Linked DNA regions of Drosophila melanogaster. The protein of the gene in region 1 interacts with the protein of each later gene in a pairwise test. Each region holds a gene or a part of one and is shown on either strand. Other genes may lie near its edges. The genes, in order: Ptx1, Bro and CG8314.

Region 1 (4,722 bases):
CAGCCTGTCATCAATATAAAAGTCGGGGATTTGGCCAAGGGACACAAAGGACATTGTGTAATTACGCCATCGTAAAACAGAAATTCCCCGGGGTGCTGAAAGTCGGACCTTGCACCACAGGTGGAGAACCCTTTATCATCATATTGTACTGCATCATCGTCACTCAGGTGAAATTCTCCCCTCTGAGTGGGTGGATCGCTGGAGTACCAGCCAGCCCTTCTAACATTGTGCCACATTTACGTAACTGGGCAAATGTGTGACGGCGAGTTCAAAGGCGGTAAACTCGAGAAGGTCTGAGCAACTCGAGTGGCTTTAGTATTTCGAGGGCCTCCTCTCAGCGCGATTATCATTTCAAGTCTATCTGCAATCTGGGTTATGCCAGTCGCACGTTCTGAGAGGTGGCAGTAATCAACAAAAACATCACACCATGGATTGCCAAAATGAAATATATCCTACAAATATATACAATTATTAAATATATATAAGTGGGTTAGATATTATGAAGCACGTTTAACATGACAGACTGATTCCCATTCTCTACTTCATCTTGTCGAATTGATTTATTTTGTTACTATGGAATGCAGTAAACTTCCTGAGATCTCCAGAGGTCATGAGTTATGACTCGCATGGCCATTGGAAATTATGTCTGATTAGTTCCGTGGCATGTCAGTTGCGGAATACGAGGCTATAAAGCCAGCATCATTTACATCAGTCGGCTGTCTCCCGGACCATTTCCTTCAGCTTCCCCCTTTCGACCCAGCTAAACCCATTCTTCCACTCAAGGAGGAGGATAAAACCTAAGGGAAAGGCAGGCAAATGCGAAATAAAAACGAAAATTATGAACTGCACAAAAGCTGTTGTGAATATTAATAAATTCTGCCTGCTGCTTGTTTCTGTTTCTGTTTCAGTTTCAGCTTCCTTTGAAAGTATCGCTGTCTCTGTGGCTGTATTTCTGTGCTGGCAGAGCGAACAAATCAAAAAGGGGAAAGTCCCAGGGAGGAGATACAGATACAAATACAAACGCAAGGATACGTCAAAAGGAGCAGTTATTTATTTATTTGCGAGGGGCGGTCGGGGGGTTAAACTGGCACAGGCACAGGCACAACAATGGCGGGCTAACGCAGAATAATGGGATAACAAAACGCCCTTGACACCCAGTAAAAGACAGCCAGCCCTCAAAAGTGGGCAAAGTAGCCTTATTATTATGAACACAGCACGTAGCAATTGTCCAGGGGCGGAGGGCAGGGCTCTGCCAGGGGTCCTCAAAGGGGGAGAACGGAACAAAGGACCAAACCAGAGCCAAACCCGAAAGTACAAATCAAACCCTCGAGAGCGGCCAAATAATGTACGGATGAAGAGCGAGAGGGAGAGTGGGCGAGAGAGGGAGAGCACAGCAATGGCGCACTGCAAACACCAGGGTCTGAGTGAGAGAGAGCGAGAGAGTGCCGACTTTGGGGGTGTGTCTTCCACGCACTCGAATGATCGGACCTCCCTTTCGCACTGCCGCTGCACAGGCAGCTCTCGCTACTCGTCGGCCAGAAGACCATCTCCCTCACACCCTCTCGCCGGTGCACGGGCAGAAAAGAGAGATAAGATAGCGGGCAATACACGGGGCTCTTGCGTTCGAAAGGCGAAATTCCGGGGTATTGCGTTCAGTAGCCGCGAGTTCTCGTCGCCAGCACCACGTTTACCGTTAGCACTGGCCCAACCACCCCGCACAACCCCACCAGCCAGATACTCGCTGCATGCGCTGTACAGTGTACACGCATCCAACAGATACTTTTCCGAATTCGTTTTCAATCCAGCTACGTCCTGTTACGGATGCAGACGCGTCGCCTCCGTTGTGATACCAGATACATGTAATTGCAGGTCTAGAGCTACAGATTTAGATACAGAGATTCGAGTACCCTAGCAGATACTTAGCCTAATTACGCCGTGGATTAAACTATTAAACACTTAAATCCGCCAGGATTTGCCTATCAAATCAAATCGAATCGAAATCATATCACTGAGAGTGCCGCGAGTGACTGTGTGCGCGAGTGTGTGTTTCTGTGAAGCGGCAGCGAGATTAAAAACATATCCCCGAGTTACTTAAAATTAATCACTAACATAATCACTGTGATTTTTATTATTTGATCTGCCGACGTCAACACCGCGTGTGCGAAAACTGTTTAACGGCTGGGGCTTTATTAAATGCCGCTTCGCATTTGATTAGCAATCTGTTGCAACAACACAGCACAAACCTACCGATCTCCCCGAGATTTATAGCCCACTGCCCACGCGATATATCCGGAAGATTTTCGGAGACTTTCCCAGATCTCCGGCATTAGAAATGCTGGCCATCTGATTTATTGACGGACCCACGACATTTGCTCCATCAAAGTTCGCCTTTGATATTCGGGATCGACAGAACCAGAGAACCGACGGAAGTTCGTTCCCACCACCTAGTGGATTAATTTTAATTCCTCTCCCATCATTCAGAGGTGAGTCGCAGTCGCATAAAGTTAATCATAACTTAAAACTTGTTACACTGACCTCAGTGATTCTTGAGTTGCTAACGCACGAAGCAAGAAATTATAAATCAAATTTGATTTAGAAATTCAAAGATTTTAGAAATTGAATTATATAGGGATCTTTTAAAAACGAAAGTTATTATCAGCAACAACGATGTGTTAGGTCATAATAGCCAACAGAAGTTTTCCGGTAAACACCTGGCTAGGAACTTAAGCGCCCCTTAATAGCAATGTCAATTCAGCTGATGCTAGGAAAACAGCCTAGCTTTCCAGCGAGGATCAGCAGAGGTTCCCATTGAGGGCCCAGAGCAAGCCCATAAACGGCTTGTTGGACAACGAATTAAGTTTACGGCGGACTCTCACGCCGCGCATAAATCACGGCGGAGTGAGACTCGGATCCGGATTGCCGCCATAAACAGAGATCTCGGCCATTCCGTAAGGGGGCCTCTGGGCTTCTGGGCCAGTACTGTGGGTTTTGCCAAAAAAATTGGAGGAGAGCCCGGCCAAGCGGCGCTGGCTCATTGACGTCACCTGAACAATTAGCAAACAAGATGTGGAAAAAACCTAAGTACACAATGCTCGGACTCGGATCTCCGGGCAGCCGCTAAACTCGAATTTGAATAAAATAATAAAATTAAATAGAAATGAAAGCATGTGGAAAGCCTTGGCACAACATCGGAATCTTGGCACCTTCGCGACGAAGAGGCCGTAAACACACGAGATCTCGCGGCCATAAAGTGGCATAAAATAATTCTGGCATTCTTTGTCTTAGGGAATCATTATGTAAATAAATTCTCACTTTTGAAATAAAATGACGAGGCAGAAAAGCCAAAAGCTGAAAAACACACAAGAAATGGAGCGGAGAATATTCTTTGGCGAAATGGAATGGAAACAATGGCAAACTGGCAACCGAATTATTTATTAGACGCTGCGGCAGATAATTTAGCCAGAAATTGAGACAACTGCGGCAAAGACAGAGCAAATAACAGTATTATAAATATCCCCATCACGGCAATAAATGCAGAACTTTTCATTTCAACGGCTGACCCCCCCCCCCCACCCACACACACACCAACTAACCAATCGTGTGGCCCATAAATTGGCTTGAAGTGAAATTATGTTTATCACGAAAGGCTGCCTATTATTATTGCTGTTGAACAACCGCAAATGGATTTAACATTACAGCCGCACTAATCCACTGGGGATCAAGTGGAGATCAAGCGGCATTATCAGCGAAATCGAAAGTGACAGCTCAAGCCAAGGCATTCCAATTAAATTTAATTAAATTCACTTAAACACACAACTGCGAATTTATGCTGCCGCTAGATTTATGAAATTCGTTCTCGTTTCGAATGCCTTTGAATGCCTTTAGTTTGTTGTGATTGAGATTAGATAACCATTTATTGCAACGTTTCGTTTCGTTTAGTTTGGTTTCGTTAGCTCAGATAGCGGACCGCATATATAACGTATATGTACATATATGTATATGCCCATTCCCGCCCGATATCGGGCAAAGGGGCCTAGGAACCTGGAGAGGTGTTCCCTCCCTTTTTGCTAATTGATTTACGATCGTTTATGGCTATTTTCGTGCTACTGTCAGTGGGCTGTTTTTATTTTTAACGAATTTATTGGACGCCCATGGCACAGTTTATCGCACTACTGACTGTCAGTGCGGCGCTCTACTACTTCTTCGAGCTTTCCCCAATTTCGATTGCCAAAATCCAAAGGCGCCCAGTGTACGTGCAATCATAACAATAATAATAGCGGAGAAATGCTCGCAGAAATGAAAATATTTTACATCGATAAGGCTGTTATCACCTGGCCCCCGCCATCTCCGCTCCAACAGTCTGCTGATAGCAGTGTAGGCGGTTCGGGGGTGCGGTGGTGCGGTGGCTCGGTGGTGCTGTTGTCAGCCCATATGCCCCACCAGATCCCCTCAGGTGCGCTCCGCCAGCCATACGATTTACGACGCCAACTGAAAGAGTCCCAGTTTACCACTCCGTTTGCCGCCGGCTCCAGCATCCGTGGTATTAACCCCTTGACGTGTTTGGTGTTAACTTGCCATTCGGCTGGTGTTTGGGTTAAGCTCCCTGTTTGCCTTCGCCGTTGAGGCGATAAAAGGTTCCACCAGTTGATTTGCCTACCAGGTAGCCAGCCAAGCGATAATTATGTCTGAGTAGCAATGAACCCGATATGACTAACCTTAGCA
Region 2 (2,981 bases), on another chromosome or scaffold:
CCCAGATATGTCGATCACCTGCATCTCCTTGGCCTCCTTCCGCCGGCGCTTGGCATTTTTGCCCACCAATGCGTCCATGGCCTCTGCGTTTAACTGTTGCTCATGGTAGCGCTTTTGTGCAATCTGAGACTGCTCTTCCTGAAGTCGGGCGGCTTCTGCTTCGGCTGCTTCCTTCTCGGCTACCTCCTCTAGGTACTTGCTACTGGCTTCCACCATCTTGGCCGCTCGCTTGGCCACTAGAGCGCTAATCTCGTTGCTGCTCACCTCAGGCAGCTTTTGCTCGGAATTCAGGGAGAAAAAGTCTCCAGTGCCATCTTCGTCATCATCTTCACTATCGCTGGCATTTACCAGCGAAGTGGGTTTACTTATAGGTTTGGATTTTGTTGACTTCAAAGCGTCTTTTGTCTCAGGATTCTTCTTGTGCCCGGCCTTAGGGCCATCTACGCCTTCGGTGTTGTGTGCAGCTCGTCGCTGCTTAACTGTATCGGGAACAAAAGCTGGTGCTGCTCGAGGCTGCGCAGGATTATTGCTTAGACTGGAAGCAAGAGTAGTGCTGGCTGATGGGTAGGCTACCGCGGATGAAGAGTTCTTGGAGAAGTTGCGCTCCGACTTTGCTTGGGGCAGCAGACTCAACAATCCCGATCCCTTGGGTACATTGGGCTTATCAACTTTGTTCTTAGCCCTGTCAGCTTTCTCCTGGTCTACATCTGAGAAATCTCTTAGTGAAGGAATGCTGATTTTTACTTTTCCCTTGACTGGCGGCGGTGGAGGTTTCTCTATTTCTACGGGCAGCGCCTTTTTGTGCAGAAACTCATCGTCTTTCTCCTCTACAATGGCTTTTCCTTTCGCTGCTGTTCGTGGCATGGGCAGGTTGGCAAAGGCGGAAGTAACCTGGTTGTCCACATCCTCATTTTCCAGATCCTTAGCGGGAGCAGTGACTTTTGGTTTGGGTAAGGCTAATAGCAGTCTTCCGTTGGGCGGCTTTAACTCCTGAAGGGACACTTCCTGGGGAACGTAGTCGTCATCTTCATCACTAATGTGACCACTGGTTGATTCCCGAGCTAGATACGCTTCACTTGGTGTGCTCGGCTTGGCTTGGGGTTTTATTACTTCCACTTGTGGTACAGAATTTTCCTCTTCGTTCTCCGAATCTTCATCAGAACTGGCAGCATAAGCAACAAGCGACATGTTTATAAAATTGCTAAAGTTAAACAATACAATACACAACAGCTGTTTAATGTGCCCGGACTCTAGAGTTGTCACCTGCTTGGGCTGCCATGGTTGGCAACTCCCTTTGCTTAAGCGCTGTGCTAACCAACACTGTTAAAATTACCGCTAAAACGTAATTTCGAATTTAAACTTAAAATTATATAGTGCGTTCAATTCGTTCGTTTTATTTATGATAGCATTATACCTGCAATCCTCAAAGTATAATATTCGGAGCTGTAAAAACCCTACGGATTATAAAACAAACCTCAAATAGGATACTTATAAGTGCTATACCTGATCCTTATTGTGTCCAGATGGTTTCCATCCTTGATTACCAGGCGACAATTAGGGGATTCGTTAGGTAGCCCAATCGCTCCCGATTACCTGTTCTACAACTTTTTTTTTTTGTTTAAATAAGGCGGTCAATTTTAACATTGATCAGTACAACTATATCTTTCGGAGAATACAGTTATAACATTAGACATGCATCATCACCAGAATCTCGGAGACGCGGCCGCCATGAATGGAATGATCCCGCCATACGAAGCCATGGCTATGTACGAGCAGCCCAAGCCCAGATTCATCTTCAAGATGCCCCGCGTGGTGCCTGACCAGAGGTCCAAGTTCGATAGCGACGAGCTCTTCCGCCGATTGAGTAGGGAGAGCGAGGTTCGCTACACAGGATACCGGGAACGTGCAATGGAGGAGCGCAGGATGCGGTTTGTCAACGACTGCCGCAAGGGCTATGCGGAGATATCGATGGTAGCTTCAGGAACTAATCTGCAGCTCTACTTCAACGCCAACCACAATCCGTACGCCCAGGAGCAGGATTGCGATTTCGAGCGGGAGCGGGGCAAAGTTCATTTGCGTTCTAGTTTCATCATGAACGGGGTGTGCGTCCGCTTCCGGGGCTGGGTGGATCTGGACCGACTGGATGGCGCTGCCTGCCTGGAGTTCGATGAACAACGAGCCCAGCAGGAGGATGCTCAGCTGCAGGAGCAGATTCAAAGCTACAACCAGCGCATGGCTGAGTCCAGGAGAATCTACCACACGCCCCAGACTCCACCCGAGGATCACCATCACAGAGGTGGGCCTGGTCTGCCTAGAGGACCAATGGGATGGTAGTGCTATATATTACCCTCATAGCTTTAAGTAACATCTAAGTAAATCAACAATAAATATCTGAAACCCATTGATCGTGCTCTTATAATACTGAGATTATGTTTAATACACTAATGGTAATATCTGCTCTCAATTACTAAAACTCTCATTTCACAAGGAGTTTCCGAGTTTTGTGTGTCATTCATTTGGCGAAAGCCACTCATGTTCACCTAATGATTGTTTATCTGGGCCTCCTTAAGGGTTGCTAGCCGGGGTCTTTGGCCTCATTTGCGCCACTTTCGGAACAACCACCACCCGAGCCGACTGCCCGAGGATGGTGAAGTGGGTCCAGCTGCCGTTCCGCCATTCCGCCGTGCTCTCCACTCTCCGGGGTGGGCCTGTCGCGGCTGTGGCTGCGGCTGTCCTCTCTTGACTCTCGATGCGGCCAGAGCACCGGTCCCGTGAGCACGTATTGATTTTCCGCCATTCCGTTTGGGATGCTGCCGAAATAAACTTTGCAACTGCTCTGAATGTGAATCTGAATCCGAATCCGAGTCAGTCTCTTTCCGAACTGAAAGCGGAAAGGCGTCGAGTGAAAATGGAATAGGTGAAGGGAACGCCGCCGCGGACTAAAAATTCATAAACTTATACATACCGCAGCGATTTGAAAA
Region 3 (3,780 bases), on another chromosome or scaffold:
ATTTAATATATTTTTTTTTTTTTATTATTTATATTTAGAACAAACGCCGCACACAAACGACGGTAAAAATTTGAATTTTTCCGTTTCCGATTCACTGAAATGAAATTTTCCGCTGGTAATTACGCGTATTCCGTCGGGCACAATGAATCGGAAAATGTGTAATTAGGATATATTCACATTTTCAGCCTGTGGCATTATTTCAAACTGTTGCTGATGGTGCAGCGCATATACACGTATTCCTCTTCCAATTCCAATTTGAAATCCACCAGACACTCGCACACACACACTCGCACTCACACTTTGGGAACACAGTGATGTTCTATCTTTCTATATATAAACAATATGTACAACACAGCATCGGCGTTCGGTTCGAATGGCGCACACCACGTCCAGCAGACACCTCCTGGATCTCCGATCGTTTTTCTCAGACTGAACCGAACTGAACTGAGCAGACAGATCAGCAGCAGCAGCAGTAGCCTCGCCTGTCCATGTCGGATAATTTTGGCTGCCCCGAGAAAGAGCAAGCTCTTTTGATGATGATCAGAGATGCGGCGCATGTCTTCTGACACGGCGACTCTCACTTGATAATAAATACAAAATGTACACAAGGCATTTAGTAGGGCTGTCAGGTAAGTACACATCTTCACCCGGCCACGGAAATGGATATTTAATTCCTTCGCTTAGGCCTAAACACACACATACATATGCACGATTTGTAGTAAATATATAGTTGACAATTGATCGAAAAATAGCAATTGCAATATACAAAATTGCACTCAGCGGCGCAACAAGTAGCGACAACTTGTTGCCTTGTACGTTTGTTAGTTGGTTAGTATTGTTCGATTAAGCTAATACGCATTCCAATCACATCCCTCAGACTGAATAGAAGTGCGAGTTGAATCTTGTGCGGCACGAGGGCTCCGTGAATGGTGAAAACCAGGCCAACGAGAAGCGTCCGAACACCGACTGGATGCTCTTGAGGCGCGATTTCTTCGCCCAGCGGGCCTCCTCCTTCTTCAGCTGTTCGATGCCCTGTTGGAGAGAGGAATGCGAGTATGTTAGCCATACAATCCCGTGCAGAGAGAGCAAGCAAAGCACCCACCGTCTGATCGTTTAGGATAGCCGTCAGCTGAGTGGCCAGCATGATGATGGTGAATATGCCGAACATAAGGCCCTCAAAGGTGAGAAAAAGCAGCAGGAATATAGTGGCCGGCGGAGAGTACGGCGAGCAGGTGCGCCAGTCGTTTTTCACGCACTCCGCGAACTGGGTGAGCACCAGGAAGAGCGTGTGCACGGAGATCGAAGCGATATAGAACTGCAAGTCGACAGCCAAAGGAAGAGGCATTAACTGGGCGGTTGAAAGAGATAAAAGAGATGTACTTACGGTGAAGAGCACAAAGTACTTTTGATTGTTCTCGCCCACGCAATTATTTACCCACGGACAGTGGTGATCCATCTTGCGGATGCAGCGCTGGCAGACGGAACAGTGATGAGCTCGTTCCGGCTTGATACTGCAGCACTTGGGGCACTTGTAGAACATCTGACCCTCGCGGTAGCCCATCTGCTCGATCATCTCCTTGGTGGCATTTCCGCGCGGTACAGCGCCCTATAGTTAATGGAGCAGATGATAATTTAGATATAATAATTTATAAATAAATATATAAATCTTATTTGCACACATATACCGAAAATATAGGAAAAATATTGTTCGAAGCTCATGCTTATTAGGCATTTTTGCCGCCTACATACATAGATAAGGTAGTATAAAGTGCATGGCCATCAGCAACTCACCGGATCCGAGAGCATTGTGCGTATGTGCGAGGCGAAGGCCAGGAAGGCGAGTGCCTGGAATATGATCATGTTGATGGTACTGAAGACGGTATAGTTGCTGGGCAGAAGGATCAGCCGCATGACCACGAATTCGGCGAACAGGATAAGCAGCCAGGTCATGATTACGCACACAATGCCGCAGATGTCCTTGACGCACCAGGCCTTGTTTCCGCAACATCGGTTGTGCTGGTCAACGCCACCGAATCCTCCGCTACCGCCGGGCGACAGCGCGGAGTACGAGTAGTTCATGGTGTCCGGATGCAGCCCACGCACATGTGACGCATCGGCCTCGTCAATTCCGTGATAACGCCACCGGACTGCGGACCATTAGCCAAAAGGCGTTTGATAAACAGCAAACGCAAAGCAAGAAAACACAACTAGCAATGTGCCATTCGCGTCCGCGGATATGGCGTCAGCTGTTTGCCATTCGCCCAAGGGCGCTGACAGGGTGAGGATAACCAAGGTGACGGTTTAATAAAATCGTTTGTTTATCATTCAGCTTAATCCGAGCACAAATACAAATACAATACATACAACACTTAAAATAGATACAAGGAAATACAGGCCCTTATCTACAAAGTTTCCAATATCAGGTGTTATGCAGGCGTTAGCTTGGCCCTCGGTTCCAGCAGAGCCCAGAGTCCAGCCAGCGATGAAATTGCCCCCAGGAGTCCAATTGTCCGGGGCGTGAGACTTGTGTAACCCAGAGCCGTCAGCGGAATGAAGAAGTCGCACGCATTCTTCACCGTGTCCACAACTATGTCTTTGTGTCCCTGCATCAGCACGTAGGACTGCAGGGCAAGGCGCTTAAAGTCCTCCGGCGAGTTGATGCTCGCGGGGATGCGGCAGCGCGAAATGCCGCTCTTGCTACCGGATCGATGCAGGTCCAGTACTCTCAGGATCTCGTAGAAGTCCCGGCACAAGTTCATTATGATCGAGAAGAGCCAGTACTTATTGGCGATGTTGGACCAGCGCTTGGCGTTCACCGCCGTCAGTCCCGTCCTGGCCAGCCAGAGGAAGTGATCGGCGAAGAGGAACAGCGATTGTGACAGCTTGCTTAAGGTGAGCGTCACACGGATGTTAAGATCCGGATGGTGAATGGTCTTCAGAGCGCCGTAGAATACATCAACGCACTTACCAAAGCGGAGTACTGAGTTGAAATGAGATTAGCTACGTGCTCGTGGAATACCTTAGAATACCTACATTTTCGGAATGTGCTCAGGATGTATTCAACCGTCTTGAAGTTGTCCACAAGCGCTGGATTGGAATTGGCGGACTCCAGCGAGTCCCACATTGCACGCGAGGCATACTGAATAAGTCGGGCGATTTTGTCCCGTCCGCCAGCCTGATTGTTCAACTGCACCAGTTGATCCATATTTATGTTGTGACCGCACAGCTCGTTGGACAGCTAAAATCAAAATTATGCCAAATCCAAAATCCAAAGTTCGATTATTAGGCTGAGGGCCCAGCAGCTGTTCTGCCGCTTCACTGTGAATGGCAAGTTTTTTTTTTAATAAACCAGCACCGTGGGCGTAGATTGAATATATTGTGGGTGCAACAATTTGTAAATAATATATTAAGAGCAAATTAAAATAAGTAAATTGCTTAAGTACCTTTCCATTACAGTTTTAAATGCTATATTTACCCTTAATATCACTTTCCCTCTACGGCCATGCTTAACATAAGTAATGCGCACGTTTCACAGCACTGTCGTTTCAACACCGTTTTGTTCAGTTGAAGACGTCGCCACGTAAATAGTGGTCCGATTTTAGATTTTGAAATAGCTGACACACAACTTGCAATCCCACCATGGCTGTAAGTGTAACTAGCACAGGGATAACGCTCTCAAGGATTACATAAAACCGCTTGTCCACTTTCAGCCCCAGCAAAAGGGTAAACAAGGCACGAAGGGCGCCAAGCAAATCGTGGAGGAAAACAAGACTACACTGA

The links.
Region 2: the proteins of Ptx1 (region 1) and Bro interact in a two-hybrid assay, tested with the Drosophila melanogaster proteins (one large-scale study listed by BioGRID).
Region 3: the proteins of Ptx1 (region 1) and CG8314 interact in a two-hybrid assay, tested with the Drosophila melanogaster proteins (one large-scale study listed by BioGRID).

What each region holds. Positions count from the first base shown.
Region 1 is NT_033777.3:30,911,102-30,915,823, forward strand, and holds the start of Ptx1 (Ptx1), read left to right. Parts: upstream 1-1,652; 5' UTR 1,653-2,483; intron 2,484-4,722. UniProt on the Drosophila melanogaster protein: Appears to control physiological cell functions rather than pattern formation during embryogenesis.
Region 2 is NT_037436.4:1,646,213-1,649,193, forward strand, and holds Bro (brother), read left to right. Parts: upstream 1-1,656; 5' UTR 1,657-1,692; coding exon 1,693-2,334; 3' UTR 2,335-2,400; downstream 2,401-2,981. Other genes in the region: CG17249 (uncharacterized protein), read right to left, coding at 1-1,188. UniProt on the Drosophila melanogaster protein: Regulates the DNA-binding properties of Runt.
Region 3 is NT_033778.4:15,989,068-15,992,847, forward strand, and holds CG8314 (uncharacterized protein), read right to left. Parts: upstream 2,220-3,780; 5' UTR 2,080-2,219; coding exon 1,792-2,079; intron 1,607-1,791; coding exon 1,385-1,606; intron 1,316-1,384; coding exon 1,103-1,315; intron 1,033-1,102; coding exon 874-1,032; 3' UTR 616-873; downstream 1-615. Other genes in the region: Pex11ab (peroxin 11a/b), read right to left, coding at 2,427-2,980, 3,034-3,205; CG8320 (uncharacterized protein), read left to right, coding at 3,640-3,645, 3,711-3,780.